Lepisosteus oculatus: one gene and its partners. The protein of the gene in region 1 purifies or fractionates together with the protein of each later gene. This does not show direct contact. Links are inferred from orthologs where the notes say so. Each region holds a gene or a part of one and is shown in the gene's direction. Other genes may lie near its edges.

What was found.
Region 2: the proteins of irak1 (region 1) and peli2 purify together in Homo sapiens (affinity purification with western blotting; 7 studies listed by BioGRID and IntAct, with this or other methods). This does not show direct contact. The link is inferred for Lepisosteus oculatus from reciprocal best matches to the Homo sapiens genes IRAK1 and PELI2.
Region 3: the proteins of irak1 (region 1) and stip1 purify together in Homo sapiens (affinity purification with mass spectrometry; 3 studies listed by BioGRID and IntAct, with this or other methods). This does not show direct contact. The link is inferred for Lepisosteus oculatus from reciprocal best matches to the Homo sapiens genes IRAK1 and STIP1.
Region 4: the proteins of irak1 (region 1) and irak3 purify together in Homo sapiens (co-immunoprecipitation; 3 studies listed by BioGRID and IntAct, with this or other methods). This does not show direct contact. The link is inferred for Lepisosteus oculatus from reciprocal best matches to the Homo sapiens genes IRAK1 and IRAK3.

Annotation. Positions count from the first base shown.
Region 1 is NC_090697.1:75,465,877-75,473,853, reverse strand, and holds the start of irak1 (interleukin-1 receptor-associated kinase 1), read left to right. Parts: upstream 1-4,954; 5' UTR 4,955-5,091; coding exon 5,092-5,287; intron 5,288-7,977.
Region 2 is NC_090703.1:10,179,981-10,187,925, reverse strand, and holds the start of peli2 (E3 ubiquitin-protein ligase pellino homolog 2), read left to right. Parts: upstream 1-4,935; 5' UTR 4,936-5,227; coding exon 5,228-5,304; intron 5,305-7,945. UniProt on the Homo sapiens protein: E3 ubiquitin ligase catalyzing the covalent attachment of ubiquitin moieties onto substrate proteins. Involved in the TLR and IL-1 signaling pathways via interaction with the complex containing IRAK kinases and TRAF6.
Region 3 is NC_090713.1:22,892,589-22,900,458, forward strand, and holds the start of stip1 (stress-induced-phosphoprotein 1), read left to right. Parts: upstream 1-4,865; 5' UTR 4,866-4,959; coding exon 4,960-4,980; intron 4,981-6,514; coding exon 6,515-6,724; intron 6,725-7,704; coding exon 7,705-7,846; intron 7,847-7,870. Other genes in the region: ADP-ribose glycohydrolase MACROD1, read right to left, coding at 992-1,087, 2,235-2,616. UniProt on the Homo sapiens protein: Acts as a co-chaperone for HSP90AA1. Mediates the association of the molecular chaperones HSPA8/HSC70 and HSP90.
Region 4 is NC_090702.1:24,395,184-24,402,773, reverse strand, and holds the start of irak3 (interleukin-1 receptor-associated kinase 3), read left to right. Parts: upstream 1-4,546; 5' UTR 4,547-4,898; coding exon 4,899-5,022; intron 5,023-6,183; coding exon 6,184-6,366; intron 6,367-7,590. UniProt on the Homo sapiens protein: Putative inactive protein kinase which regulates signaling downstream of immune receptors including IL1R and Toll-like receptors.

The DNA of each region.
Region 1 (7,977 bases):
CTGACTTCACCGCTGTGCGAAGGGACATGAAAACACGGGTCTTTCGCGACCTCTCCTCTAGCTCTGCAGGCAAAGCGGGCGGACTCAGCCCTCAGAGCCCGTGCTGTCCCCGGCCTGTGGGTGGGTGGACGGCTGCCGTGTGGAAGCGGACCTGCCGAGTGGTCGTTGTCGGTGCTGTAACTTAATTAATTGCTTACACTTGTATTATTTATTGCTTAGTCTTTTATTGCGGACAAGTGCAAAGTCTGCATGAGGGCATAAAAAAAAACTCTACACACGAAACAGGACTCGCTGAGCCAGAAGAAGGCTCCACAGATTTTGACGGGAAACCAGTGCAAGGACTCCAGGACAGGAGTAATGTGATCGCTTGCACTAGACCTTGTCAGGATTCAGGCTGCCCAGAAATTTGCTCAGAGTAGATTTTGATACCCCTGCGAGTAGAGCATCAGCTTTTCAGCCACAGTTAGTGATAACATAGGGCGTAGTCAAGTGATATTTCTGAGGTGAAAAAATATGTTTTGACAATATGCTGCACATGTGGGTCAAATCTTAAACCACAATCAAATATCACCCCAAGGTTTTTCAGTTTAGACTGAAGCTCAAGTACAGAGCCATCTACAGACAGGGTTACAGGACTGGCTTTACGAAGTCGATGGGGGGTACCAATAAGCATGACTTCTGTTTTGTCACAGTTAAGATGAAGGAAATTTTGAGTCATCCAAGTTGTTATGCCAGAGATGCAATTAGATAGAATAGAGACAGCCACATCAGTGTCAGGTGTGGTATGGATGTATATTTGAGTATCATCAGCATAGAAATGAAAGCTGAGGCCATGTGATCTTAGAAGCTGACTAAGTGGAAACATGTAAATGCTGAAGAGCAAGGGGCCCAGTATTGAGCCCTGAGGAACACCAGACTTGACAAGACCAATTTCAGACCTACGCCCATTAAGAGAGACAAAGGGACAGCGATCAGTGAGGTAAGACCTGAACCTTTTGAGAGCAGCGTCAGAAACTCCCAGCACAGTCTCAAGACGAGGAAGTAAGATGTCACGGTCAACCGTGTAAAAAGCTGATGAGAAAGACTTGGGTATTTACGTTGACTTATCATTTATTTCTTCTAGGCAATGTGGGGACGCTCGAGAGGTGTCACGTTAAACCTTTGCAAGGCACTAGTGAGACTGCTTTGAGAACACTGTGTGGAATTTTTCACCAGGTTACAGATCCATCCTTCCATTTTCTGACCTCCTTATCCAATACAGGGTGGCGGGGAGGAGCCTGGGGTCAGTTTCAGTTTTCTGGTTGCTTTGGGGAGTCGGATTGATGAACTGCTGGCCCGCAAGTGAGCCAGTCGGGTCGAACCCCTGTTCTCAGGTTCGTTCTCCAGCCCTTCTGCTCGACAGGGCGAGGCAGAGCACGCAAACAGCGCCACGCCACTCTGGCAGCAAAATTCAAATCGCAACAGCTTTATTGGCACGACCGGTCCATGACAGAAAATGCCGGAGCCGATAGAGTCAGTGCAACATCTGCGGACATTCACAACACTGACACACAGACACATCCTAGGACCGTCAGGACGACACACGACGCAACCACCTCCCTCCTGCTGCAGACCGCGGAGCGCGCCTGTGACGAAGAGCGCGGGGGGGGTCGCCGAGCTCTTTTGGCAGTTCGCGCGGGATGCACTCAGCATGACTCAACTGCTGCCGCTGCTGCAGCAAGAACAAGCACACCATTCAAGTGGGTGGGAGAGAGAGAGGCGGGGGGGAGGGGGGGGGCTCGGTCTCCCCCTCTGTCAGCGCGCCGCTATTCAGGTCGCTTCCAGGCGGCCCACACGGCTCGGATGACAGTTTACATCCCCGTTTCTTAGAAAGCTCTGCTGCACAGAGGCCCTGCGCGGTTCCTCTCGCGCTCTCAGAAGAGCATGCTCTCTTATGAGCCTTTACACTGCGTGGCTGTAATAATAGCAACAGCAGTAACGATCTGCCCTCTGTGCTGTGCCCTGCCTGTCTTCACGGCTGGCAGTGAGCTCACCCCGTTTCAGCATGCGGTTTGCATCCTGGGTTGTTTCTAGCTCTGTATTAATTTAGCATCATTGTACATCAATAAATGAAAAATATATGGATCCCGCCGGTAAAAGGTCTGGAGTGCAGTACAGCGAGAGAGATCATGAAAAGGCAAAGCGCGTTTCGCCAAAAAGTGTTGACTAAATGTAATAGGAAGTTGGGTTCATATTTTGCACGTGTGCTCCTGGATTTTTTTGACAGCCTGCCTGTCTATTATTTTATTGATGGGTGATCATGGAGGCTGGCATGGTGGCACAGCAGTTATTACTGCCTACGGCTCTGGGGCTCCGGGTTCAATTTTTGGGTTGCTGTCTGCGTGGAGTTTGCATGTTCTCCCTGTGTTAGCGTGGATTTCCCCCGGGCGCTCTGGTGTCCTCCCACAGCCCAGGGACATGCTGGTGGGTTAATTGGCTTCTGGGAAAACAGGTCCTGGTGTGAGTGTCTGTGCCTGTGTGTGCCCAGCAATTAACTGGCTTCCCATCCAGGGTGTATCCTGCCTTCGCCACCTGCCTGCCGGGATAGGCTCCGGATTGCGACCTGAATTGGATATAAAGTGGGTGAAGAAAATGCTGATGATTATAGGACAAGGTACCTAAACAGCTCATCCCCGTTTCTGAACCCCCTCCCTATGCTCGTCCTTCTGTATTCCTAGATTGCTTTGATGGGATTGAGGCCAGAGCATTAATCTCAAATCTGCATTTCTCCCTGTGTCACGGAAACAGCTCTTTGCACCCCTGGCAGCATGCTTCAGAGCGCAGTCGGGCCGGAAGCAGAGGTGCTGCACCCCCACATGTCTTCTCCAGCTGCGCAGTTCAGTCTGGACTCTCCCATTTGTTTTTCCAGCCAAAATCGGATGACAGACAGGACCACCAGCTATTCCTTCACTCTTTTTTTTTTCTCGTATCACGTTTAGCACGTGATCAGCTCTCTTCACAGTCCAAGGTGCACGTTGCCATAAACAGCAGAAACAGAATGATAAGCTGGGGGTACTGCGGAGTTCTCGGTATTGGAGATTCAGTGTACAGCATGAGAGGCAGAGTCTCCACACTTGAAAGTGAATTCTGCCATTTTTCATTTCCTGTCAGCTCTGCTGTCCGGGGGACTGTGTCGGCTTCACTGCTTCTTCTGCTCTGTTTTCCTCTCCAGGGGTTAACAGCTCTTTGACGTCGACAGACACATGAGATTCGAACCCACAACCCTTACTACTCCTCCACTCTCAGCTACTTTGCTGTACCCCTCCTGATGTCTCCGATTCCCAATTCCTGGACCTCAATGGAATTTCTGTGCTGTCTGATTACTAATTGCCATTGATTGCTCCTTAAAAGCATTTAGGGGTGGAATTCACTCCAAAGATGTTAAATGAAACGTTTCTTAACACAAATTGATTTGAGAGCTAAAAATGGTTTCTGCTTTACAGACGGCATCTGTATGGACATGATCTGTGAGACCTCACAAATATTTTGACTCTCTGCAACATTTAATTAGTGTTTGCTGAAATCAAATCAATCAATCACGGCATTTCTGTGGATGGTTCTGGGGCGCGAGAGAGCTTGTTATAATAATAATAATAATTGCTTACACTTATATAGCGCTTTTCTGGACACTCCACTCAAAGCGCTTTTACAGGTAATGGGGATCCCCTCCACCACCACCAATGTGCAGCCCCACCTGGATGATGCAACAGCAGCCATAGTGCGCCAGAACGCTCCCCACACACCAGCTCTCAGTGGGGAGGAGAGCATAGTAATGAAACCAGTTCATAGAGGGGGATTGTTAGGAGGCCATGATTGATAAAGGCCGATGGGGGAATTTGGCCAGGATGCCGGGGTACACCCTTACTCTTTTCGAGAAACACCCTGGGATTTTTAATGACCACAGAGAGTCAGGACCTCGGTTTTACATCTCATCCGAAGGATGGCGCCTGTTTACAGTATAGTGTCCCCATCACTGTACTGGGGCATTAGGGTGAGCGCCCCCTACTGGCCCCACTAACACCTCTTCCAGCAGCAACCTTAGTTTTTCGCAGGAGGTCTCCCATCCAGGTACTGGCCAGGCTCACACCTGCTGAGCTTCAGTGGGTTGCCAGTTGTGAGTTGCAGGGTGATATGGCTGCTGGCTATATCACTGTTGTTATCTTTAGGTGTGGTTTTTCCAATGACAATAAAATCTTTGGAGCATTACAGCATATTCATAAATATGAGTAAAAATAAAAACATAAATGCTATTTCTAGTTCAAGCCACCCCACCTCAGAAGACCGAATAAATGGACATATATGTTATTCGGAAATGGGAGTCACTTTATAATAACAGGTAGCTTGTGATGGATCAATTGGAAATTTGGTGTTTCTTCCTGCAGAAATACATCTCATGCCCAGTTTGGAGTCTTAACCGGCATTTTAACTCACTGTTGTACTTGGACTATTACCTGTGACAAAAATGGTCGCTGGTGACAGTTACAACACACCCAGACACTATGTGGAGGCTGAAGCGGATATTTGAAATGAACACTGATATTTCACAGCACAGGGTGCCCATCTGTCTGCGGCAGTTCTCCGTATTTTACGACACCAGTTTCAATCCACAACACGATTCCAGTGGGCCTGAGAGCACTGTGTTACGTCGAATGTCTTCCCACTGGAACACGCCTCAAAATCAGCATTATTATTAGTAATCTCTCCGCTATGATTCTCTCTCTATATATATTTTATTTTTTTGAGGGTGAGAGAGCGGTACGTTTGTAAACATGTCATGGTTGGGATTGAGCTGCGAGAGGACCGACCGAGACGGGAACGCAGCGCCTTGAGATGTCGCGTATCCCTGTGCCCGGTGCGCCACACTCAAGATGGCGTTTCCGGCCAGGACCAGGTTTCCATGGTTTCCGAAGCGCGTTTCCGGAGTCCTCCCCGCCTCCTCGGAGCCCAACCAACCCCTTCGAAAGAAAAAAAAGTCCTTCTGAGTCTTAAAGGGGAAGTGAGTCAGTAGCGTGGAACCTCGCAGATGGAGTCGCCGCCTCCGCCAGCGGAGCGATGGTTTTGGACGGGACCGTTGTAAGTCCGAGGAAGGCGCTGGCCACTTCTCCCGGAAACCGCCCGGAGCCGAAGCAGACGAAAATGTCCGCCGGGAGTATCGAGGGGCAGTACCTGTACCGCCTGCCTGCGCACATCACGACCGAGTTCTGCAAGGTTATGGACAGCCTCGACAGATCGGACTGGCTGCGTTTCGGTGAGTTAGCCCCCGTCCGAACTGGCGGTCCCGGTGCGGGACCGGCGGGGGTTGGTCCGTCCCGGGACTAGCCGGCTAGCGGCCGGTGTCTAATCGGCTTCCCCCCGGGCTGAGCTGTGCGCTCTTGCGGCGCACGGAGTGAGACAGAGTGGCGGGCTGGGCTGGGCTGGGCTGGGCTGGGCGGGACGGAACCGAACCGAACCGCTCCGTTTCGGACAGGTCCACGACACCAGGCGGTCCCGTTGCAGTGATCATGGGGGGGGGGGGCAGCAGGTTAAACAGGACCGGGGTCTGTACAGTGTGTATGGTGGACTTTCCATTCTTAAACTCGCATTCAAAGGCAGCAAAATCGGATTGATTGCCGAGTTACAAGAAATTATGTTAAAATACGATGTCGCGTTGTTGTTGTTGTTGTTGTTATGGGAGCTTCCGTGGCGCTGCGGAGCTCAGGCTGGGGGACTTGAAGATCCCGACTAGAGGGGTTGCGCAAGTGTGTTACAGAGCGCTGCTCCGGGTCAGAAGCGGCGCTTTCTGCGCTCTGCAGCGCTGCGCCGGTGACATGCCTTGATTTTCACTTGCGATCCGGGCACTGCGTGGTGCTCCACGGCCTGAACTGCCGTCTCGCCGGCGCCCCGGTCCCGTGGCACTACAGGGAACTTCGGTTCCCCCTGAGGCCGGGACGGGTCCGGCTCCGGCCCCGTCCACATCGGCCCGGCTCATCTCGCCTCCCTCCCCACGCGAATTCTTGGCATTCCGAGCGTGGCGCATTCCACGGAGCCTGCGTGGAGATCCCCCCCCACACCTCATCCATCCCACTCCGGTCTGGTCCAGTCCAGTCCGGTCCGGTCCATGTTCACTGTGGCCAGTGGTCCCCTCCCGGCTACATGACCGTGGCTGAGCAGAGATGGACAAGCTGCAGGTCAGTTCCTGCAGTCAGGCCTGCTCCTGGCTGCCGGGGTCAAAGAGGAGAGGGCTGACCACTCCCCCCACCCCAGAGAGCTGGAAGCAGAACTGGTCACAGGGTGCCGTGTTTCGAGACATGAACACGGGGTGTTGAACATGGTAGAAAGGGGAAGTGTGCCCTTCAGCACCCCTGGTGCTCTGTCTCACGGTTCAGCAGTGCGTAGGGGTCTGGGTGAGGCAGCGGCAGTCTTCTTTTAGGCCCGGTGTTGCCACTTTGCCCCTGATAGGAGTTGCAGTGCAGGCTTCCACTTCCCTGTCAGTGACCCTGATCAGTTCTCAGTCCTGTGGACACATCCAGGAGGACCTGGTGAGCTCTGAGCCCAGAGTAGGATTAAGGGCGGGTGTGTCCAGTCCTGGTCCTGCAGGGTCAGTGTGTGTCTGCAGGGGGTCCAGTCTGGTTCTGTAGGGTCAGTGTGTGTCTGCAGGGGGTCCAGTCTGGTTCTGTAGGGTCAGTGTGTGTCTGCAGGGGGTCCAGTCCTGGTTCTGTAGGGTCAGTGTGTGTCTGCAGGGGGTCCAGTCCTGGTCCTGCAGGGTCGGTGTGTGTCTGCAGGGGGTCCGGTCTGGTTCTGTAGGGTCAGTGTGTGTCTGCAGGGGGTCCGGTCTGGTTCTGTAGGGTCAGTGTGTGTCTGCAGGGGGTCCGGTCTGGTTCTGTAGGGTCAGTGTGTGTCTGCAGGGGGTCCAGTCCTGGTCCTGCAGGTCGGTGTGTGTCTGCAGGGGGTCCAGTCCTGGTCCTGCAGGTCGGTGTGTGTCTGCAGGGGGTCCAGTCTGGTTCTGCAGGGTCAGTGTGTGTCTGCAGGGGGTCCAGTTCTGGTCCTGTTGGACTGGTTTGTCTGTGGGCTTTGTTCCATCTTGACTTTGGTCAAAAACAGGTGTTGGGGTCCTCTGAACGAGGATGGGGAACCCCTGACTGGCTCACACGCAGTCAGCTGACTGGTTTTAACACACAGGTGGCTGCGCTGTCTCAGGAGCAGTGATGTCAGTGCTGTGTGCCCCTGAGAGAGGACCTGGCTGTGCCTTAGGGGAAAGTTTGACTATTTTTATTCCTTTTGCTCAGGCATAACGACACTTTTTCCTCCACATCCCATAGTGTTGCGAGGAGCTAGCTGTGTAAATTCAGTATAAACGCAGTGATATTTGTCTGGATCCTATGTTTATCTTGCATTGGGCTGGTAGAACAACGTATATTACTTTGTAAGCTGTATGTCTCCTGTAGCAGATTGAGAATAAATGTCGCAGCGCCACTGATGAGGGCTTCAACATCTCCCCTCTCACTCCCCCCCTCCATGTACCCCCCCCTCACGCACACATAGATAAGATAAGATCACCACAGACAATGTCTTACATTAGGAATTGCTGACCCTGCTCTCCAGGAGACACACAGACAGGGAGAGAAGCTGGGGGTCAGAGCGCAGGGTCAGCCATGTATACGGCAGTTGGAGTTAAGGGCCTTGCTCAGGGGCCCAATCCTCTGCCGGCCATGGGATTTGAACCGGCAACCTTCCAGCCACAGGCGCGGTTCCTGAGCCACAGAGCCGCTGCTCCGCCACACTCAGGGGTTTCAATCGGAGTGTCACAGCCCGAACCGGAAAGGTCAGGTTTTAAAATCCGGGCTGATCTGAGTCCTCCCGTGTCTTAACCGGCGTTCAGCTGTGTTTCAGGACTCAGACTCAGCAGCTGCAGCGATCGTGCTGGGCTGTGCGTGCGTGCGTGGGGGGGCCGGGCTGCGG
Region 2 (7,945 bases), on another chromosome or scaffold:
CTCTGGTCTTCTCGCAGAGACCAGCATGCCCAGCTCTGCACAGGCTCCCTCTCTACCACACACGCACACACACACGCACACACAGAGACACACGCACACACAGAGACACACGCACACACAGAGACACACGCACACACAGAGACACACACACACACACACACAGAGACACACACACACACGCACACACGCACACACAGAGACACACACACACACACGCACACACAGAGACACACACACACACGCACACACAGAGACACACACACAGAGACACACACACACACACACAGAGACACGCACAGAGACACACGCACGCACACACAGAGACACACACACACACACACACACACACACACACACACACACACACAGAGAGAGACAGGCCTTGCAGGCTCCCTTCCACTCTGAAGCAATGACCTGCACAAATTGAAATTGATCTGCTGGTTAATTACCACATGGAAGACAAGGGTTGTGGAGGGGAGGAGATGGGGCAGATGGGTTTAAAGGTCTGTGAAGTGTGGGCAGCTGTGGACAATGGGAGGGAGCGAAGTGGGAGCTTGTTCTAACAATAACCCTGAAGATATTTTCAGCTTAATATAGGAAGAGACAAATTGTGTCACAGTTTTTAAAAGGGAGGATCTTCATGAAGGGAGAAGCGCAGAACGTATTCTGATCAATGAGGACCTTTTACTTATGTATCTGACCTCATTATGCACTCAGATGAACTGATATATCTATCCCCATGCATAAAGGGGGGGATTTTTTTTTTTTACAAAAGAACTTTGAAACATGCCCTGCTGAAAACCTGCTCTCCAGCTGGACCGGAACGGAGCACCGTGCAATGTGTCACTGACAGTGAAGAGATGTGCTTTACCTGCAGCAAACCTCACCGTCTCAGAGTACGGGCAGCAGATCCTGATCATCTACCCATGCTGTACGCATCAGTGTCTTACCACAGGCAGCAGATCCTGATCATCTACCCATGCTGTACGCATCAGTGTCTTACCACAGGCAGCAGATCCTGATCATCTACCCATGCTGTACGCATCAGTGTCTTACCACAGGCAGCAGATCCTGATCATCTACCCATGCTGTACGCATCAGTGTCTTACCACAGGCATCAGATAATGATCATCTACCCATGCTGTACGCATCAGTGTCTTACCACAGGCAGCAGATCCCGGTCTATGCATGGTTTTTATTCTAGCTGAGCCATCAGTTAATGAATTTAAGTGATTTATTTATTCATTCTTTTGGGATGTTAATAGTTGGTCATCATTTCCAGACACCTACAAGATTTTATCACTACCTTGACACCTTTACTTTTTAGGACCCAAAAACTAGAAGAGAAAACCCAAGAACCCTTATGAGGTTTCATTTCAGTTATAGCTCAAGCTGAAGTGTAATACAGAAAGGCAGTGGGGTCCTGAGGAGCAGATTTGGGCATCCCTGCTGTAGATGTACATGTTCAGGGGTAACCACAGGCTGGGAAGTAATAGTGACATGTGACACTATTTTCCAATTGAAATCTGGAATCATGCTCTCTTTCCAATTATGCCCTGGGAAAACAGTCAGGTCAATGATGCTTACTGATGCCTGGACCTACACTATCCGGTTAAAATAACTGAACCTTTTTTAGTTTTGAACAGAGATCTGTATTCAAATTCACCGAAGGCTCTGACAAAGTCAGTCCAGAAACAACAGTGAAAGAGGGAAAGAGGAACCAGAGGTTAGAATGTGGAAGCGCATTTAAAGGGGTTTGAAAACAGGAACAGGGTGCGCTTCTGTGTGCAAATAGCTGTGGGAGTTTTGAACAAGCTACCCAGCAGTGCCGACTGGATCAGGTCCTTGGATCAATTAGCTACTAACTACAGATTACCTCGATGGGCTAAATGACCTCCTTTCATTCGTAGATTTTCTTACAATTTTAAGACGTGTCAGAGCTGGAAAGAGTATTTCTGTCAGTGTTTTTAGATTACATTAATCTTATCAAATCTAGTATCTGTATCCACCTTTCTGTAATTGTTTTTAAGAAACGGGACAACCATACCCAAAACAGGAGAAGCCTTTAATACTTGGCCGGGGCTGCATCAGGCTCAGTCTGCGCTCTGGCTAGGATGTGTCATCAGTGGCTTCTGCCATTATAAAAGGCTCACTGGCTTCGTTGAAGAAGCAGCCCAGGACCGGGCGGAGTGCGACTGCGCATGTGAGGGAGTGCGAGGGGCTTCACGTGGGTGGAGAGCAGGGGGCCGTGGGGAGGGGGAAGTCAGGGTGGGGCTTCTGGCTTTGTGCTTGTGACAGACCTGCTGACTGAGAGAGAGAGAGAGAGAGAGAGAGTTTCAGCAGCCCTCAGCCCAGCATCTGTCCTCCGCCCACTTACTCCTCTCCTCCCTGTACCGGGACTCAATCACAAACATTCCCGTGCCGGACCTTTTCTGTCGCCGCTCCAGTGTTATGGAATGCCCTTCCTTGGACTCTACGAGACAAAGACTTTGACTCTCTTCCAATCCAAACTCAAAACGCACTTTGTGTTTTACTTGTTTTCCCCCCATTCTGTATCAACATGTATGCTCGTTTTTCCTTTTTTTTTTTAAAGCTCACTTTTATTAGCCCTACACAATTTCTTGTATTAGGAATTTGTCTTATTGCAGACCCCAGCTTGCTCTCCATGAGACCCACAGACGGGGAGAGAAGCTTGGGGTCAGAGTGCAGGATCAGCCATTTATACGGCGCCCCTGGAGCAGTTGGGGTTGAGGGGCCTCGCTCAGGGGCCCAATGGAGCAGGATTCCTCTGTGGGCCACGGGATCCGAACCAGCAACCTTCCAGCCACAGGTGCAGGTCCTTAGCCACAGAGCCACCGCTCCGCCCCAGTTTTACCACTATGTACATCATGCTTGGAAAGGTGCTTTATAAATATAACCTATTACTATCACTCCTTTCACCCCAGACTCGCGGCCCAAAAAGAAACAAGAGCATGAGAACAGTTGCATACGACAAGGATGATGTCTGGCAGGCACGCCGTACCTGTGGGGAGTTAGTAACACATTGATCCAGCCGTTTCTCACAGGAATCCAGGGCATCAGCTTCAACCACATGGCTGAGCGGCCCGTCCCAGACTCCCGCCACTCTCTGTGTCAGGAAAGTGTCTCCTGCCCCCACATTTAAGTGCACGTCCTCTCAGTTTGCACTGCGAACCCTGTTCTCCTGTTCCACTGCTGGATCCGAAGCTTGAGGATTGTGATCACCAGCGCCTGGTGGCTCTTTGTTAGGCTGATTTCAGGGCAGCATATTTTTTTTTTAACATCACGACAATAATTGGACACATTTTTGCTTTATTGCATCTTACAGTTTAAACAACATCACTTGATTACAATTCTGCGTTTCAACTGCGTTTTTATATGCGCACATTCTGTTGGTGCTTTTTCTTGCTGTCCCACGTCGTCAAGATGGTGAAAATGATTTCTTTTGAAGGCATTCCTCAGTGCTTAGTGCCCCCGTCTTACATTAATAGTTTATGCATCTGCTGCCTCCAACCTCTTGTTGTGACTGTTTTTTCCTGGTTAGTCTCTTTCACTAGAAAGCCTCCACACACCTGGAAACCTTGAACACACAAAGCTTCTTATAACAGATTTGGTTGTTTTAATGTGTGTATGGTGCCATGTTCTTCAACAGCACAGCTCATCTCCCGACAGGCAGGCTAGGCTGATAATGATCACGCCGCTCTGCTTGCTCCTAAACGGGCCATTAGTTCTCCTCATTCAGCAAGGGCGTTTTATTTATTCTGATACACTGAAAGTCCATAAGCAGGTTTTGTGATTTTTAGCATAAAAAAAACATGTCACGATCTCCTCTGTAAATTGACAACAGCTTTTGCAGTGTGCACGGGGTGCCGGATTTAATGTTATCTTAGTCGCAAAATGCCTTAAAAACTATCGGTCCCATCCTATCCAAGTACATTGTCTCCAATTCCGTCTTCTTTTATTTCTTTGGGTAATAAAAATATTATTAGAAACTTTTTTTTCTTGCTGATCGAGACCAGGTTAATCTCCGGTCCACAGGACATTCAAGCGATTTAAGGTATTCTTTTAGCTCAGGGTGTTTTTCCTGTTTTATACCTGTTAACTGTACCTTCACAGGATTTCATTCAGCAAAATCTCACAGCACCACTGTGGCCCCGCCCCCCGTTTGAATGGTATAGTCCAATAACAGGCTGGAGTACTGGAGACACCCCTCCTGACACACCCAGGTGGTCACACCCACTCCTAAGAAGCAAGACTAAGCTTCAAACCAAAACTCCTTTCGCGCTACAAGTCACTGATCTAAATAAATATTTTCAATTTTAAGCACCCCCCCCCCCCCCCCGCTCCCTATTTATTTCCTTCAATACTCTCGCAGGGCTCTGTCTTTTTTTTTTTTTACAACTACCTCAATGAATCCTAACTGTTGTCCTACTTCACTAATGTAAACCATACGTTCTCTGCTGGGCTAGGCTTGATAGACCCCCTTCACCTGTGAAGCCGCTGTATTGCCAGTTCTCTTCGAATAAAATAACCCGGCAGAAAAATAAACGGCTTAGAATATTTTAAATTTCCCACATGACAGAGGGCAAGAGGTTTATCTCTTTAAGAATCCCCTCTCTTTTACTCTTTGTTTACATAACAGCAGGGACCAACCTCGCACCAAGAGTCAAGAATGTGGAGAACTAGAGGGGGGGTTAAGGCAAAAGAAAACCCCATATTGCGTTGCGTATAACTAATAACGGAGAAAAGACGTATAATTATGAGAAATAATGCTGCTTTAAATATAAAACACTCTATACGAAGGCGCGTTTTGGGGAAACGTCATTGTTCAAATGAAAGCCTGCTCACGCTTTCTCCCCCTCCGTGAGCAAGGTGTGGTCGATGGTACATCCCGCCCCTGCTCTGGGCTGTTTTTGTGTCGCTGTTTCAGAGCCCATCCAGCGGCCAAGTGGAGAAGTACGCGGTGTAGTGGAGGCACTTCAAAACAAAAGTTTCTCCCTCGTTTTAGACGTTAAGCAGACGGGAGCAGAGCCGGCCGACTCACCGGAGAAACACCTCTCGGCGGACGCGGCGGCAGCTACACGTGACAGATGGCTCTAACCCACTCGTTGTGAAGGGTTTCCCTGCTCTCTCTGTGTGTGTATGTGTTTCCCCCCGCCAGCGGTGAGGACGACTGGTTTTTGTGAGCTGCGTAGTTTGCAAAAGCCTGATGTTTTCGCCGAACCAGGAGGAGAACTGCGCCCCCATTAAGGAACCGGTGAAGTACGGGGAGCTCGTCGTGCTGGGGTGAGTGGGGAAAAGACGGTTACAAGGTGGGGGATCCGTCGGCTTGCGGTGCTCCCGAACTTGGGAGAGGATACGTGCCGTACACATCACTCACTTGTACAGGACTCTTCCGCGCTGCGAGGACACAAACTCGGACCTGTTCGCGCATCCTAGCCACGTACCTGTCATCGCTGACAGGGCGCCTCTCGTCGCGACGTCTTCCCCCGGAGGTTAGTTGTCTGTTTTCGGGCAGTTCGAGGCAGAACAGTTGCCGGAGAAGAAAACAATCGCCTAGCGCGACCGACACGGGCGTCCCCCGTTCAGCCCTAAAAGCCATCTGGAGCGGCTGTCCGGGCGGCGAGCGAGGGGGGGGGGGCTCTTCTTTGGCATGTTCGGCCGCGAATAAAACGAACAAAAAAAAACCCCAAACAAACAGAAAAACAAAGAAACCGTTACCGGTTCAGTAAGCGGCTGGCGCTTCTGATTTCCTCGGTGGGTTAAACGAGGGGAGGGGGAGGAAACGCGGTTGGGGAATGTCCTCTGGAAATGTGCTCCCCAACGCACATTCCCGGGAATCGGGCAAGTCCCAGTTCGTGGGCGATCCGTTTGGAGCGGCAGGCGAGGCGTGCAGAAGTCGAGGATATTTTTTCTTTTTAGAGAGGCGCACACGTCGCGGTCCCAGATATTTCCGAAGCTGTTGGGCTGGTTGCGTGCGGATCGGGTCTTTCGCGGCGTGGATGTAGGTTACAGTAGTTGGTGAGGGAGAGATGGGGGGAGGGGTTGGGAAAAGTCTTAGCTACTGTACTAATCGCGGGATTTCTTTTCGTGAGCTACCTCGCTTGACCGTGTTTCTCTCCCCTCCCCAACCCGCTTTCCAGCGGTGGGTTATTGTGCCACGCCGTGTGCTTTCGAGCCCTCGCAGCCGGGATGTTAGTTTGCGAAGTGACCAAGTTCGCTATCCCTAACGTGGTGATGTGGAGGAATAGGCATCTCCCACATGAGGCGTCCCACATGATCGAGCTACCGCTGGGCCAGATTGGAGCAGCTCAGTTGAATCGAAAGTTCATGCCCTGTGGCCCTTATCCGATGTGTTAACCCCCCCGCCCTTATCGCATCGCTTTCGCGGTTATGTTGAAGTAGCACTTGGTATGAGGTGTGAACGCGGTGCCCTGGATACAAACGGCTGCAGATGAGCGGTGCAAAAAGGCCACCGACCCCCCCCATTACGACGCGTCCGGTGGTTCAGTGAGCTCAGGTCTAGCCGATGTGGAGGAGTTTGCGGGCCGGCCTCGATCCCTGGCGGGCTGAGGGTGCTGTGCAGGTCGGCGGCGACCGCACGGGCCGGGAGAAGAGCGGTCACGTGGAGCAGGCTCGCTCCAGAGCGAGCCGAGGTGATTCATACATGATAATTATCGCCAGATTATGCAAGCCCTAGGATGTTCCCGAAGAGCGCTAATGTGCTTCCTTTCCCGGGGATTAACATTTTCGGGGGATTTGATGCGAGTTTTAATTTTAGCACCAACCACCCTTCCTCCCTCTCTCCCCCTAACGAGACTAGGAAATGATTTGTCGTTCATTCCCACGCCGCGGTCCCGTCCGGCACCCAGACAGTTCGAAGTTGGCTCCTGTCGGTGTGCCACCAGCGGGATGTATTACTCATCTCTTTTCACGGTGTCTGTCTCCTCTTAATACAACTAGACAGAGCCGTGTGCGCTTGTTTTGTCTGTTCCCTGTCTTGTTATCCTAGAAATCAGGAAGCGCGGTTCTCTTCTATTTTTAGTGCACTCGGTACTCGGGAGTATGATTATCGGAGTCACTTTTAATGAGAGCGGGTAGACCAGCCTCACTGAAAACAGACAGCGGGGGGTTAGTTGTGAAGCCTGGTTTCTGAGACAGCCGGCTTTGCTCCTTGTCGTCTGACGAATCTAGTGCTCTCGCCTTAGATCGGCTGTTCTTTACCACAAGGGCATCACGCCTGATTTAAGATCTCTCGCAGAGAACTTCTTTTACGAGCTGGGGTGACCTCATTAACACATCAATGGGTAATAAACGATCATGTAAAGGAGTCCCACTTCTGCTGGGACAGTAATCTGCTAACGTGTTAAGATAACCTTTTGGTGAAGACGTGTCTCGGCTTGCGCAGAGTTTGTGATTGACCCACAACTCTTGTTAAGTGCCTGCTTTCCAGTTTTGACCTATTGAATTTAATTATCTGGGATGTATATTTTGGACCCATGAATTCCTATTGAAACTGGGCCTTTCAGTTTTAAAAAGATGATTTAATGTGATAATGTACATGAAGTGTGTCTTATCTGTGTGTGTGGTAGGAGTGTTAAAATTTCTTAAAATAAACCTGGAAATATGCTCACTCTGTCTACTCATAATGAACTTTCAGAATGAGTACAAGCTAAAACAAGAGCACTCTGCTAGATTAATCTAACTTTTGACCTATTTTGACTGTATTCATAAGGGGAGCCCAGTTTGTAGAATTGCTTGGCTTTCCATAGTGCCTGAAAACGTAAAACCCAAACTAAACCTTATGCAATTGGGTTTTTTAAAAAGGAAGTTCACAAGCACCGTGTACTCATGGGTTTGAAATGAAAGATTTAGTAGGGAATGCAATAATGCATTCAACAGTTTTGATAGCGTTGAATGCCTCATG
Region 3 (7,870 bases), on another chromosome or scaffold:
GGCGCAGGAGGTTGTATTAAGTTACAGATGACATTAGTGGGGTACAAGAGGCAGTACGGGGGTACACAAGAGAGTATTATGTTGTGGGAGACTGATGATATTAATGGGGTACAAGAGGCATTAAGGAATACAGAACACTGGGGTATAGCAGACAATACTGGGGCGCAGGAGGTTGTATTAGGTAACAGATGACATTAGTGGGTTACAAGAGGCACCAGTGGGGTACAGAGCACAGTACTGGGGTACACAAGAGAGTATTATGTTGTAGGAGACTGATGATATTAATGGGGTACAAGAAGCATTAAGGGGTACAGAACACTGGGGTATAGCAGACAATACTGGGGCGCAGGAGGTTGCATTAGGTTACAGATGACATTAGTGGGTTACAAGAGGCACTACTGGGGTACAGAGCACAGTACTGGGGTACACAAGAGAGTATTATGTTGTGGGAGACTGATGATATTAATGGGGTACAATAGGCATTAAGGGGTACAGAACACTGGGGTATAGCAGACAATACTGGGGCGCAGGAGGTTGCATTAGGTTACAGATGACATTAGTGGGTTACAAGAGGCACTACTGGGGTACAGAGCACAGTACTGGGGTACACAAGAGAGTATTATGTTGTGGGAGACTGATGATATTAATGGGGTACAAGAGGCATTAAGGGGTACAGAACACTGGGGTATAGCAGACAATACTGGGGCGCAGGAGGTTGCATTAGGTTACAGATGACATTAGTGGGTTACAAGAGGCAGTACTGGGGTACAGTGCACAGTACTGGGGTACACAAGAGAGTATTATGTTGTGGGAGACTGATGATATTAATGGGGTACAATAGGCATTAAGGGGTACAGAACACTGGGGTATAGCAGACAATACTGGGGCGCAGGAGGTTGCATTAGGTTACAGATGACATTAGAGGCAGTACTGGGGTACAGCAGACAGACCTGGGGTACAGAGGAAGGGGTGCTCGTGAGGCTGGGCGTACCTGTGGCTTTCCAGGTGCGGATCTCCTCCAGGGACAGGAAGTCAGGGGTGCGATAGAGCTTGCGCCTCTCCTCCTGGCTGAGAGAGCCCAGGAGCTCTGGACAGAGAGAGAGACACTCAGTCACAGCTGAAGGGACAGGAGATCTGTCTGGTCCGCTCCAGGTGTGACAGTGCTGTCAGTCAGACTCCCAGTGCGCAGCAGTCTGATCCGCTCCAGGTGTGACAGTGCTGTCAGACTCCCAGTGCGCAGCAGTCTGATCCGCTCCAGGTGTGACAGTGCTGTCAGTCAGACTCCCAGTGCGCAGCAGTCTGATCCGCTCCAGGTGTGACAGTGTGTCAGTCAGACTCCCAGTGCGCAGCAGTCTGATCCGCTCCAGGTGTGACAGGGCTGTCAGTCAGACTCCCAGTGTGCAGCAGTCTGATCCGCTCCAGGTGTGACAGTGCTGTCTGTCAGACTCCCAGTGCGCAGCAGTCTGATCCGCTCCAGGTGTGACAGTGCTGTCAGACTCCCAGTGTGCAGCAGTCTGATCCGCTCCAGGTGTGACAGGGCTGTCAGTCAGACTCCCAGTGCGCAGCAGTCTGATCCGCTCCAGGTGTGACAGTGCTGTCAGTCAGACTCCCAGTGCGCAGCAGTCTGATCCGCTCCAGGTGTGACAGTGCTGTCAGACTCCCAGTGCGCAGCAGTCTGATCCGCTCCAGGTGTGACAGTGCTGTCAGACTCCCAGTGCGCAGCAGTCTGATCCGCTCCAGGTGTGACAGTGCTGTCAGACTCCCAGTGTGCAGCAGTCTGATCCGCTCCAGGTGTGACAGTGCTGTCAGTCAGACTCCCAGTGCGCAGCAGTCTGATCCGCTCCAGGTGCGACAGTGCTGTCAGTCAGACTCCCAGTGCGCAGCAGTCTGATCCGCTCCAGGTGTGACAGTGCTGTCAGACTCCCAGTGTGTAGCAGTCTGATCCGCTCCAGGTGTGACAGTGCTGTCAGTCAGACTCCCAGTGTGTAGCAGTCTGATCCGCTCCAGGTGTGACAGTGCTGTCAGTCAGACTCCCAGTGCGCAGCAGTCTGATCCGCTCCAGGTGTGACAGTGCTGTCAGTCAGACTCCCAGTGCGCAGCAGTCTGATCCGCTCCAGGTGTGACAGTGCTGTCAGACTCCCAGTGTGCAGAAGTGTGATTAACTCCATAGACCCCCTGCTCACACAGCCCTGATCTACAGTGGACCCTGGTTCCGGACGGACCCGCACTCTCACCTTTGACTCGTTCCCAGTCGCCGTCCGGCGAGTCCAGATCGATGGTGCCGCCGCCGCGCGCCGCCATGGCGCAGACCCGTCCGGTGTGCAGAGAGGCGAGACCCGCGGCACCGAGCGCCGCACCGAACCGGGCCGAGACCCGGCACACCAGCCACGCGCCGCCGGTCCGAGTTCGACCGGCCTGACTGTCTTGTCTACCCAGCGCTGGCAGCCTCCCTGCAGTCTGACGGCGGCTCGGCTCGGCGCGGATTCCGGCGAAACCCGAGCCCCGTTTCAGCTCGGAACCGAGCCCCCAACTCCAGATCCGGCTGCGGGACGGGACAGACAGAGAAAGTGTGGGGAGCTTGATCCGGGCGGCCAGGGATGAAATTTGAAACGCCATTCTCGCAGCGGTGCTCGGTTCTGACAGACAGGCGCTCCTGGGTCCGGGGATTCGGTTTCGCTTTGCTCAGACCAGCCCGCCTCTCGTGCGCACCGAGTTCAAACAGGAGCAGAGTCGCGCAAGGTCAACTCGCGGAGCTGGTGGCGCCGCAACGCTTCCTGGGAATTGTAGTCCCGCTGTAGATGTCAGAGATGTGGGTGAGGCTCAATGGCCACAGGCTGGCCATAGAAACTGGACACAGGCAGACCTGGCTGTCCAGAGAGGACAGGCTCAGTGACCACAGCCTGGACACAAGCAGACCTGGCTGCCCAGAGAGGACAGGCTCAGTGACCACAGCCTGGACACAGACACTGGACACAGGCAGATCTGGCTGCCCAGAGAGGACAGGCTCAGTGACCACAGCCTGAACACAAACACTGGATACAGGCAGACCTGGCTGCCCAGAGAGGACAGGCTCAGTGACCATAGCCTGGACACAGACACTGGACACAGGCAGACCTGGCTGCCCAGAGAGGACAGGCTCAGTGACCACAGCCTGGACACAGACACTGGACACAGGCAGACCTGGCTGCCCAGAGAGGACAGGCTCAGTGACCACAGCCTGGACACAGACACTGGACACAGGCAGACCTGGCTGCCCAGAGAGGACAGGCTCAGTGACCACAGCCTGGACACACACTGGACACAGGCAGACCTGGCTGCCCAGAGAGGACAGGCTCAGTGACCACAGCCTGGACACAGACACTGGACACAGGCAGATCTGGCTGTCCAGAGAGGACAGGCTCAGTGACCACAGCCTGAACACAGACACTGGATACAGGCAGACCTGGCTGCCCAGAGAGGACAGGCTCAGTGACCACAGCCTGGACACAGACACTGGACACAGGCAGACCTGGCTGCCCAGAGAGGACAGGCTCAGTGACCACAGCCTGGACACAGACACTGGACACAGGCAGACCTGGCTGCCCAGAGAGGACAGGCTGTGCTCCCACTTCTTACAACATAACATCACGTAAGCAATCAACAACAACAACATCAAATAAATAACAACTCAGCTAGAGTTCTTGCTTTAGATGTCTCATAAAATAACCAGCTTGTATGCAGGCAGGTTTCTGCAAACCAGATTCCCAAGGGTATTTTCAGAATACCTGTTATAAATACACGTTATCTGAATTTATAAATTCTTTAGAGCATACAGACGTTTAAAGCGCTCTACACTTACACAATTTAAATTCACACTTCTTTATTTTTACTTAGAACACTAAACACAACATCATTGTAAGTTGAATGTATACAAATGTTTTTACATTTTAACCAGGAACAACCAGAACGCCAGAAAGCTGGACATGGGACTCCAGTTGTTCCAATTTCACGCTCACAGAAAATAGTCAGTCAAACTTCAACCTTTTTTTCTGAGGAATTTCCTTCCCAGAGAAGGATACGTGCTTGTGAAGAATTTTAAAATGAGTGTGTTTAGTTTTTGGCAAGGTAGTCAGATCGTGGTCTAACAAGAGACTCGTCGTGTGCATCATCAAAACCCACGTTCTTCCAGATCTAAGGGGTTTATGGTCTCAGCCATCATCTCCCGGATGTTTTTATCACATTTCTCTATCCAAAATCATTCCCTATCTCGATTTCTAGTCCTGCGTTCACTACACCGCACGCCACTGCCCTAAGAAACGGATAGGATAGTCGTGGGGTATGAGCCACAACAGAGCCAATCTCCTGAAACCTACGGGTTTTAGTAAACAACACGCATTGTTTCAGTTTATAACAGCAAGACGGACATTTCCTGGTTAATTCCCGATCTTTCCTCCGTTCAGACACGCCCTCCTGTCGCCGAGGCTTGACAGCCAATGAGAAGGCCGGTTACTTCCACCGTGCCTTGCTCCATCCCACCAATCAGAAGCGAGGTTTCTCCGCAGCCGCCCTTTTAAAGTGCGAATTTTCTAGAACCCTGGCAGCTGATAGGTCGAGAAACTTCCAAGCTGCCCCCCCCCCCCCGATAGCCGTGCGTAGAAGAAGGTGGGCGGGTCTCCCCCGGCCCGGCCAATCCCAACCCTTTCCGCTCCAGCAGGACCCAATCACGTCCCCCTCCCTGGGTTGACGGACGGCCCTCGCCCTCCACTCGGGAGCGGGGAGCGCACCGGCCCGGCGTCGGCAAGGGGAGGCGGGACAGGACGTGGGCGACAGCCAATCCGCCGCGCCGGGGTCTGCGGACTGACGGGCGGGGCAGCCCGTGGGATGGCGGCACGGGCGGTCTCCCCGCCTCCCCTGCGCCAATGATAGGAGGGCGAGGGCGGGGCGGGGAGGCTGTCAGTTCGCAGTAGCTTCTGGAACCTCATGGCTGTTGCGATGGAGAAGGTGAGTTCGCCAGCGGCCGGGCGCCCTTCTGTGTCTTTTCTTTCCTTATCAGGCGCCCGAAAAGGCCGCCGTCTGGAAGAGCCGTGTGATGGCAGCGCGCCGGGTCGCTGGGGGCGGTGAGCCCCGCTGCCCGGGGCAGTCCGGGGGCGTGCTGGCTCCCCGGCAGGGGGGACCCCCCGCCCCGCGGTGCCGAAACCGGGGTCACTGCGGCGGCGGCGGCGGCGGGGAGCCCCGAGTCCGCTCGCGAGAGGAGGGGCCCCTCCACAGTGTTGTTGAGCGCCGTGTAGAGCTGTTTCCGGGGGCAGGTTTTGATTTGGGGTTTCTCTGTCCCGGGTGGGGGGTGGATTTGGGGTGCAGTGTGTCGGGCGTGACCCCGAATTCCCTCGTTCGTCTGGGTGGTGGTGGTGGGGGGTCTCGGGAATGGAGGGGGAGCGATGCGCTGTGTGGAGTCCGTGACCGTTTCCTTCGCGGGTGGGAGCCCCCCCCCCCAGCTCCCGGCCTCTTTCTAGAACCGTCTCTGCGAGAGGCTCTCCGGTCTCCGGGCTGGACGGGAGGCGCCGCTGTACACGGAGGGTGGTGGGGGTCTGGAACAGGCCGAGGTCGCGGGCGGTGGGTTTAGTCGCAGTCTGCGGGGCTGCAGCGGTCCCGGTCAGGGAGATCCTGTCCTGCTGACCCGCTGACCCCCGGACACCCCCCTCCTGCTGCCCGGTCCTGTCTTGCCCCCTCCTGGCTGGCCAGCGTGTTGCTCTCCCTGATCCGGGTCTGTGGCCGGGGACACTGTGTAGTGTGGAGTAGGTGTCCGTGTGTGAAGAGTCCATAGCCTTCTGTTCCTGTCCGTCCTGTCCCTCTCCCGGTCCCCAGTGCCCTCTCTCTGTCCCTCTCGCTCCTCTCTCTCTGTCCCTCTCCCGGTCCCCAACGCCCTCTCTCTGTCCCTCTCCCTGTTCCTCTCTCTTGCGGTCTGTCCTGTCCCTCTCCCTGTTCCTCTCTCTCTGTCCCTCTCGCTCCTCTCTCTCTGTCCCTCTCCCTGTTCCTCTCTCTTGCGGTCTGTCCTGTCCCTCTCCCTGTTCCTCTCTCTCTGTCCCTCTCCCTGTTCCTCTCTCTCTGTCCCTCTCCCTGTTCCTCTCTCTTGCGGTCTGTCCTGTCCCTCTCCCTGTTCCTCTCTCTCTGTCCCTCTCGCTCCTCTCTCTCTGTCCCTCTCCCTGTTCCTCTCTCTTGCGGTCTGTCCTGTCCCTCTCCCTGTTCCTCTCTCTCTGTCCCTCTCCCTGTTCCTCTCTCTCTGTCCCTCTCCCTGTTCCTCTCTCTTGCGGTCTGTCCTGTCCCTCTCCCTGTTCCTCTCTCTCTGTCCCTCTCCCTGTTCCTCTCTCTTGCGGTCTGTCCCGTCCCTCTCCCTCTCAATTCAATTCAGTTTCAACTCAAGGTGCTTTATTAGCATGACCGATGGGTACGATCGGTGTTGTCAAAGCAGATAAAAATAATGATAAAATAAAATAATATCTCCCTGCCTGTCCCTCTGTCCCCCTCCCCCTGCCCCCAGGTGGCAGAGCTGAAGGATCGAGGCAACCAGGCCCTGAGCGCGGGGGACGTGGAGCAGGCGGTGCGCTGCTACAGCGAGGCCCTGACCCTCGACCCCAGGAACCACGTCCTGTACAGCAACCGCTCGGCCGCTCACGCCAAGAAGGGCGACTACCAGAGCGCACTGCAGGACGCCTGCAGGACCGTCGAGGTCAAGCCGGACTGGGGCAAGGTGTGTGTGTGTGTGTGCGGTCCATACAGACCGGTCAGCGTGCGTGTGTGTGTGCGGTCCATACAGACCGGTCAGCGTGCGTGTGTGTGTGCGCAGTCCAGACAGACTGGTCAGCGTGTGTGCGCAGTCCAGACAGACTGGTCAGCGTGTGTGCGCAGTCCAGACAGACTGGTCAGCGTGTGTGCGCAGTCCAGACAGACTGGTCAGCGTGTGTGCGCAGTCCAGACAGACTGGTCAGCGTGTGTGCGCAGTCCAGACAGACCGGTCAGCGTGCGTGTGTGTGCGCAGTCCAGACAGACCGGTCAGCGTGCGTGTGTGTGTGCGCAGTCCAGACAGACCGGTCAGCGTGTGTGCGCAGTCCAGACAGACCGGTCAGCGTGCGTGTGTGTGCGCAGTCCAGACAGACCGGTCAGCGTGCGTGTGTGTGCGCAGTCCAGACAGACCGGTCAGCGTGTGTGCGCAGTCCAGACAGACCGGTCAGCGTGTGTGTGTGTGCGCAGTCCAGTGCGTGTCTCGGTGGGGCTCCTGGGCCAGTTCCCAAATTCTTTCTCTCATACAGACCAGTATTGCTGTTCTAGGCGCCCCTGGGGGTTTGCAGACAGACCGTCCAGTGAGACAGCAGGACAGTGCGCAGGGAGAGGGCGAGGGATGAAGAGTTCAGGGTGAGGTGTAACGCGGTCAGGGGGGGAACCCCAAGACCGGGGGCCCCCGGACAGCGGTGCGCAGGAGCCCGGGGCCAGCGGGGCCCTGCGAGGCGAGCGACTCCAGAACCCAGGCGACGGGCCCTGCAGAACCCGCTGGGCCGGCGAGGGCGTTTCGAAAGGCTTGCCCCTGGACCGGGACTGGTCGCCACTGCGGGGTCTCCAGCGTGGGGGAGTGCTGTTGGGTTTCTGTGGCGCTGGAGCAGGGCTGCTCCCGCCAGTGCTGCGGTTTCCGTAGTAACGTGCAGTAACCCCGCCCCCGCCCATCTGCCCCTGCAGGGTTATTCGCGGAAGGCGGCTGCCCTGGAGTTCCTGGGGCGGTTCGAGGAGGCCAAACTGACCTATCAGGAGGGGCTGAAGTATGAGCCGACCAATCAGCAGCTGAAGGAGGGGCTACAGAACATGGAGGCCCGGCTAGCAGGTACACTGGGAGAGAGTGTGGAGG
Region 4 (7,590 bases), on another chromosome or scaffold:
CTCGCTGTGCTCCGTCCCTGGGTTCAATACTGAACCGGGAGGTGCTATCTATGTGGAGTTTGTATGTTCTCCCTGTGTTTGCATGGGTTTCCTCTGGGTGTTCCAGTTTCCTCCCATAATCCAAAGGCATACTGGTAGGTTAATTGGCTTCTGGGAAAATCGGTGCAGGTGTGAGTGTGTGTCTGTGTTTATGTCTGTGTGTCTGCCCTGTGATGGACTGGCATCCTGTCCAAGGTGTATTCTGCCTTGTGCCTGTAGCTTGCCAGGATAGGCTCTGGCTGTCCTGTGACCCTGAATTGGATGAAGTGGTTAGAACATGGATGAATTAATAATATTCACAGAGCGAATCTGTACATTCATTGAAATGTAAATAAATTCCCAGCCTCAATACAATGCCCTACACTCCAATGACAGGCTAAAATAAGTGTATAATTTAGTTTGAAACACAGAAGATTATGAGGGCAAGTGATTCAGACATTCCAAATCCTCAAAGGAAGATGGATGAGACCCTTGGATCACTTAGTTACTAGCAACCAAATGAGCTAGATGGCCCACACAACCTTCATTTGTGTGTAAACGTCCTTATGTTCTTATGACAGCAGCGTGACCATCTTGTAGCCTGATCTTGTTAGATCTCAGACACAAAGCAAGTTGAGCCTGCTCAGTACTGAGACAGACGACCTGTAAGGAAAGCCAGGTTGTTGTTGAAGGTGACAAGGTGAAGGTGAAGGTTTAATGTGACAAGTGACACCCCTTGCACTGGATGGGAAGATGTTGCTGTCAGTGTCCCAGTATTGTGTAGGACGTATCATTGTTTGGAATAGATATTACATTGAGCTACGGATTGCTGGGGCTGTTCATGTGGGGGATGTGATCATGGTATCCTGGCACCAGAATTTTGCCATATGACCATACTTTCCCTACTTAATTTAACTAGTGAAGTAATGTTTCACTTCTCCACCTGAACTGCTGGCACAAAATGGCTGCCTGTGTCACCCACATGGATGTTGCCCTACAGTGGTGGATGAAGTGGGCCCCCTCCTGTATGTCAAGTATTGTGTAATCATTCAAATACAAGCAATTACAATCATTACCACTACATAAAATAAGCCTCAAGTGGGACAAAAAGCAATTGCTGTTCCGAACGTTGTGTAAACCTGCTTGAAAGACAAAGAAATCATCAAAAGGATTTAGTCATGTATTCTGAAATGTTCTGGGTCTGTTTTCTTAACAGGTCCATTTTCATTTCAGAGGGGATTTGAACACATTGTCGCATCTGAGACAAAGAAGGAGTGCCAGTTTGAACTCAAAATCCCTATCTCCATGCAATTAAAAGGATAATATTTTACATTTTAGAGCAATGAATCATTCTGGATCATCTGGCAGATCTGTGCAGCTTCAAGTCAAAGTGAAGCTGAAGTGCCACAGATGGCAACTGATGTTCTTCTAGTCTGTTCCAGCAGGGGGCTGTGCTGCATAATATTTAACTGTAACTTTTCAGTCTTTCAGCATCTAAATAACTAACACCAACAATGGAAAGAAGCAATCATTTGAAACATTGGAAATTCTTATTCCATGGGTACCCCTAAGAGCCAGTCAAGGAGGGGATAAGTAGATATTTACAAACATAGACAGCCAATATTTTAAGTCAACTTAAAAAACAGCAGATTTTTTTTTAAATCTTTTCAAAAATAGACCCTTGGTCAAATCTCTTTCAAAAGTGATGTTTGATTCTTGGAAAAATATGCTTACATTGCTGTTTGGACAGTTGTGTTGTCAAAGGTCTTGTTTCTGTCTTTGCTGTGATAGTCATCCTTTTGTATCATAAAAGGGAAGTGTAATGGGAAGGGAAACCACCAAGAAAAAAAATGATTTTTTTTTGTCCTCACATGGCTTCCCTTTGCAAAATGAACAGACCTTAAAGGTAGTGGCTCCCAGAGTTTCCTGCTCCTCTTTCAGCAAACATTGCTTATCAGGTGAAAGTCCCAAGACCACTAGTGTAAATGCCAGAGTGAAAAGTGAAAATTAAAAATAGATGCAGTTAGAAAATTCAGAGGCACTGAAAAGTACTCTAAAAGGTAGTAGGCAAACTACCCACCCATGTTGTTGAAACCCACTGACTCACAGGAAACTGAAGCTACTAGTAATGAATTGTGTGAAATATGCCAAATGACCACCCTTTTTTTTTAACATTTCCTTTGTTTTGTTTTCTGTGTGTTAGCAACAAAGCATATGGGTGAAACAAGGCCTTTATATAGGCCAAGACCTGAATGGAAAAACATCTTAGCATCCATGAATCTAAAAAATAAGCTAGCTTAATTTAAAGATGAAACCCTGGACAAATATTGTCTTGTATGTCCTTTAAAGTAAGAAATTAGGTAAAATTAGAACAATACTTGTTCCATGCTTTATGGAGAATATAAGGAAAAATATTTTTTGATGCTTTTTATTTTTATTTAAAATTATACTTGAATAAACTGAAAGTCATCTCAGTGGCCTACTATCATTTTCTGTGATTTGAATCTATTTGTCTTGAAAAGGATAGCTCCTAGTTTAATGAAAATGTGTTAAACACTTCAATACACATTTTCTTCAATAGGAATACAGTATATTAGTAACCCAGGCTAGAATACGAGTGTAGCACAGATAAGATTCAGCACCACTCCAGACAGAGCAGATTGATGAGATGGGGAACCCTGATCCCTTACCCTCCATTACATGGAGCAGTTATTCCAAAAAGTACAGAGAAATCTGTAGTCAGATATTTTGTTGAAGGTTTTACTCTTGTAAAACCCATATCTTCTTGTGGAGTTCCTGCTCACTAGATTGATCATGATTTATGGGATACACTTAACCTGAATAAACAATGATCAAATATAAAAGTAGTTTGAAGTTGTAAATAAAACTTTTAACCATTTCTTGTAACTCGTAACCCTGGATACAGATCTATGGAAAAGATTTAGTTTTGTTTTAGTAATGTAGAAAAGAGAAATGAATCCCACTTGCCTCATACAACTGTCACTGACTCCAGTGGTTTGTGGAATAAGTCTTAGATACGCAAGTAATCAAAACACTGAATAAGCAAGCCCCCATTTGAAGCTAACAAATGTCCCCTTGAAAGCAAATGGTGTGGACCCTGACATACACACATACTGTATATAATTATGAATTATCTAACTTTGAAGGTCCTAGAATGTGTTAGATGACAAATAAGGCTCTCAGATTTAATGGGAGGCAATCAGCTACCATGCCTTGCTGATGATCCTGTAGTGAAGACAAAAACAGGACAGCCCTGGGCTGAGGTTTTACATCAGCTCTTTATATCCACTGACCTTCCTGCATAGTGATTGCTGTCAAATGATCTGTTTTGTCTTCTTTTCAACTGACAGGGCCATCCAGTCATTCGGGAACCTTTTACAAATATTAAGTGCATCTTGTACACCGTCAATGAGGGTGGCAATTGGTGTCACTTAAAAAAACACCTCTATTTCGCTGATAAAATCGTTTTATTTCTCTGCTGACCAAGGGTATAAGAAAAGTCACTGATAGAAAACGTGAAAAAAGGTATAAAGTAGCAGGACACTGTCATCAATTGGCCATTTCTTCTTTTAAGCACACGATTCTTTAACGCAGCACTTTCTATTTGTTTTAAAATGCGTGTCAACTTTCCCTTCATGCTTTGACCCCTCTACACCTCATGGGAGCCCTGGTCAATTCGTTCAAGTACTACATTTGCACTACTCTTGATCATTCTTATTCTGAAAAAAAAAATACAAAAAAGCATGTCTGTTATGAACACGATAGAGAGAAAGAGCAATACATAATATTATTGTAGTGTATTTGCATTACAGTACTGTAGTAGCATTTCAGAAAGAAAAATTCCCAGCCTATTCTCAGTTGTGACCTCTAGATCTATTTACTTCTATTTAAATACTTAATCAACCAGAAAAGTCAATTGAGATCAAATTCTCAGTTGTTATGCAACAGGACGTGTACTGGCAATTTTAATAATTGTCTTCATAACTGTTATGTGTACAAATATATTATGAAAAATACAAGTATTCCCCTGAAATGAACCGCCTGTAGGTTCGAGAGAGAGAGAGAGAAATGACACCATCAGTGTTTTTGTAAAAAAGACGAATTTCACCTGAGGTAATCCATTACTACCATTTAACGAGGTCAATTGTAAAATGAGAAATGCTTTCTCATTGGACTTATTTTGGTTAAAGATTGTGTTTCACTTTAATTGGGATATTTTGGTCCAGTATAACGTCCTTCTCAAATTACTTACGATTGGAAAATACATGATAGAAGACTGATCGGTTGAGAAATTTTGGATACACTTCGAGAGGAAAATAAATTCTCCACCAAAATCCCATATTTGATTGTAGTGTCCAGCCTCCTAAAGCCTTGATTTCGCTTCTCAGCTGATGGAGCAACTTCATGCTTTTCAGTGAATGACAGCTTAGGGTGAGTAATGTATCGACGTCAAAATGGAGGTTCCGCTATTGCTCAATTTCACAAAGGCGGAAATATTTTCATTTTAAAATAGGACGTTGGCAACAGATAAATGGAGATTTCCATGTAGACTTCATAACAAATATAATAAACCAAAATAACAAAACGATGATGAGATACAGTAGCAGTTCCATGTAAACCTCCTACAATTATAATTGGGCTGTACATCTCTGATACGTTTCCGCGATTTGTTTCTGGAACACCAGCTAAGCTGCAGTTTTACTTACATTTCATAGGTGGAGCTTAAGGCACTTCTAAGTTTCTGTTGTTAGCGCAGGACCTGGAGACGCGTGTTATTCTGGAGTACTGTACTACTCAAAAGGATGTGTTTATGAAATTGAACGTGAACGGCAGTCCTAACAGATTGACAGTGCAATACAATGGCAGGTAAAACAGAGTGTTTGAGTCGTATGACATTCCTCTTCGACGTCCCCCCATCCGTGATGGAGAGGCTCTGTAAAATCATCGACAGCGGTGATGGGGACTTCGGCTGGAGAGGGCTAGGTAAGTCACCAGAGAATATTGCCTGGTAATTATCCGTGACTCTCGGGAGACGTGCAGCAGCACCTTGCAAACAGGAAAATAGGATGGAGTAGAAATAACGTCTGCTAACACAATGACTAGAAATAAAATAAAATTGTGTGATGAAAAAGAATGAACAACATTATGTCTTTCTACTTTTCAACTACATGATTTCCTCAGTTATATCTGAAGAAGGCACAGTTCGCATTTTTACTTCGTCCCAGGAGTATTATCGACTATCTACTTGATGGTGACTTTAAGTACAGTAGCACTACTGGAAAAAACATTTGTTTTGGTAAATAAATAATGTAGATTGTTGAGAAGCTCAAAATGACCTCCAGTAAATTGCTTTCTGATAATGTTACTGTCTAGGAATGAGCTTTTCATAAATGTTGTAGACAACAATATCCTAAAATCAGTTATTTTTCTAGCAGCCAGAGATAGATAAAAGTAGAGATTCCTCTACTTTTAAAAGTTTCATAACATAAAACATAAAAATGCCTTCCCACAAAAATAAATACTGAAACGATTTTTCTTGTAAAAAGGTTACAATGAAAATGTTTTACTAAAGTGAATGTTGTGTAACAGGAGAAAAGTTTAACCAAGTAGGTTTGTTCATCATGAAACTGTATAACTATAGACCTATAAAGCAACATTTAACTTCCCCATTTTAGAAAGTCCTGGAGTTGGCACACATAATGAACCTGAAAAAGAAAAGTAGTTTGGCATTGTATGTAGAAATGGATTTTGATTTTGAAATAAGTGTTATATGTACTTAATTGAAAAAGGGTATTCAGAATTGTGCAAATGCAGTTAATCTACAGTGTTTCTGTTTTACAACTAGATTTAGAACCACGCAAATTGCATTTTAAAAGAAAGAGACAGACTGGTCAAATTAAAAGTATGGAGAGGAGAATTAAACTTCTTTATATTTGTTTTACAGAATCAAGATTGTTTTATTGTGTTTTAATGTACAGTAGTACATTAGTAGTACACTACTCACCTGTCTCTCTGTTTTTTGTCTTGCTCAGTAACTTTATCACCTGTTTTCTCAAAAATGTGAGGCTGATGTAACTGGTGTTGAATCTGTTGCCGCCGAGCTCCTTTTGGCCCACTGAAGTGTTTTTTTCTACTGCCTGCTAGCGGCCCGTATTTTGCCTGACTGGCTAGAGGTGCGCTACATGGAGAAGGTGTGTGCGCAGGGCAAAAGCCCAACCCGGGAGCTGCTGTGGAGCTGGGCTCAGAAAAACAAGACCGTGGGAGATCTGCTGGAGATCCTGGAGGAGATGGGGCACCAAAGGGCAGTCCAGCTGTTCTTGCCCCAAGGTATGCTTCCTGTCCTGCACAGGGCACTAGTCAAAGACAGCAGGCGCTCCAGCGGCGCAGCATGACAGCACTGATAATGACATTTGAGGTCACCCATGGAACTTATTTGCACATCAAGTGCATCGGCCTTTACTTCGCTTCTTCTACCCTTTTCACTTCCTGTAACTGTGTAATAGCTGTTAAGTTTGACGTTAGGTGTTATATTATTCAAAGGAGGTGACTGCATGTGTTCTAGTCACCTCCTTAATTTTCACTTCTGCTTCTGCATTCAGCTATATCAATTTATCAGCCACAAAATCCAGAAAACAAACCACAGACTGTTCAAGGTCCAGTAGTGCAAGATGGTTAATGTGAAACACTAAATAAGGTAGGGGAGTTTAAAGTTCCTCAGTAGCCTAGCGTCATGTGCTATAGAATCCATCTAGAGATTTATGGGTTTTACCAGTGTCACACCAAAGTGATTCTATGTGGATTGGGTTCTCACGGGAAGGATAGATTAGAGAGGGCAGAAGATTCTTCTTTGACTCTGCCGATGACACGTTAAAAATATTTTTACTTACTGTAAATCTGTTAAAAAGCCTTTATTCAGAAAATTTAAACCCCTGGGTAATTTTGGGAATATGATCAAACACATTTTATTCATAGGTCTTTATTGTGTTCCATCTTGTGCTCTGCATAAAAAGGGATCATTTGCATTATAGCTGTAAGGCAAGGTGGTGATTTAATCTGTTGTATGTGAGCCTGGTGAAAATCAAGAAATAAAACCTCAAACAGCCAGCGGTTTCTATCCTGGCAAGATAATACAACAAAAACACAGTCCATTGATGATAGGCCATGATCAAGGAAACCACAAGTCACATTTCTTGCCAAGAGCGGTGAAGAGATCTGGGTTTGATGGTTTGGGCAAGTGTCTAGTCACTACTAAACTCCACTCATAGTGACTGATGGCAATCCATCTAAATGGTGCTACAGTACATTTTTTTTTGAGCTACAGTACATTGATCAGGCCTTGGGACCTTATCCTAATGGGACAGTATTCCTGCTGGGTAATGCAGCCTCATATTGCTCATGTAAATGCGCCTTTCTTGTGAGATAAGAATGTAACAATTTGCGACATTTGAAGGATGATCTGGGGGCATCTAGAGATCAGAGGCCAGAGAACTACAGTATAACATGCTTTTCCATTGGCAGAAATAGGACAGAATCACAAGACAGCATCTGCAA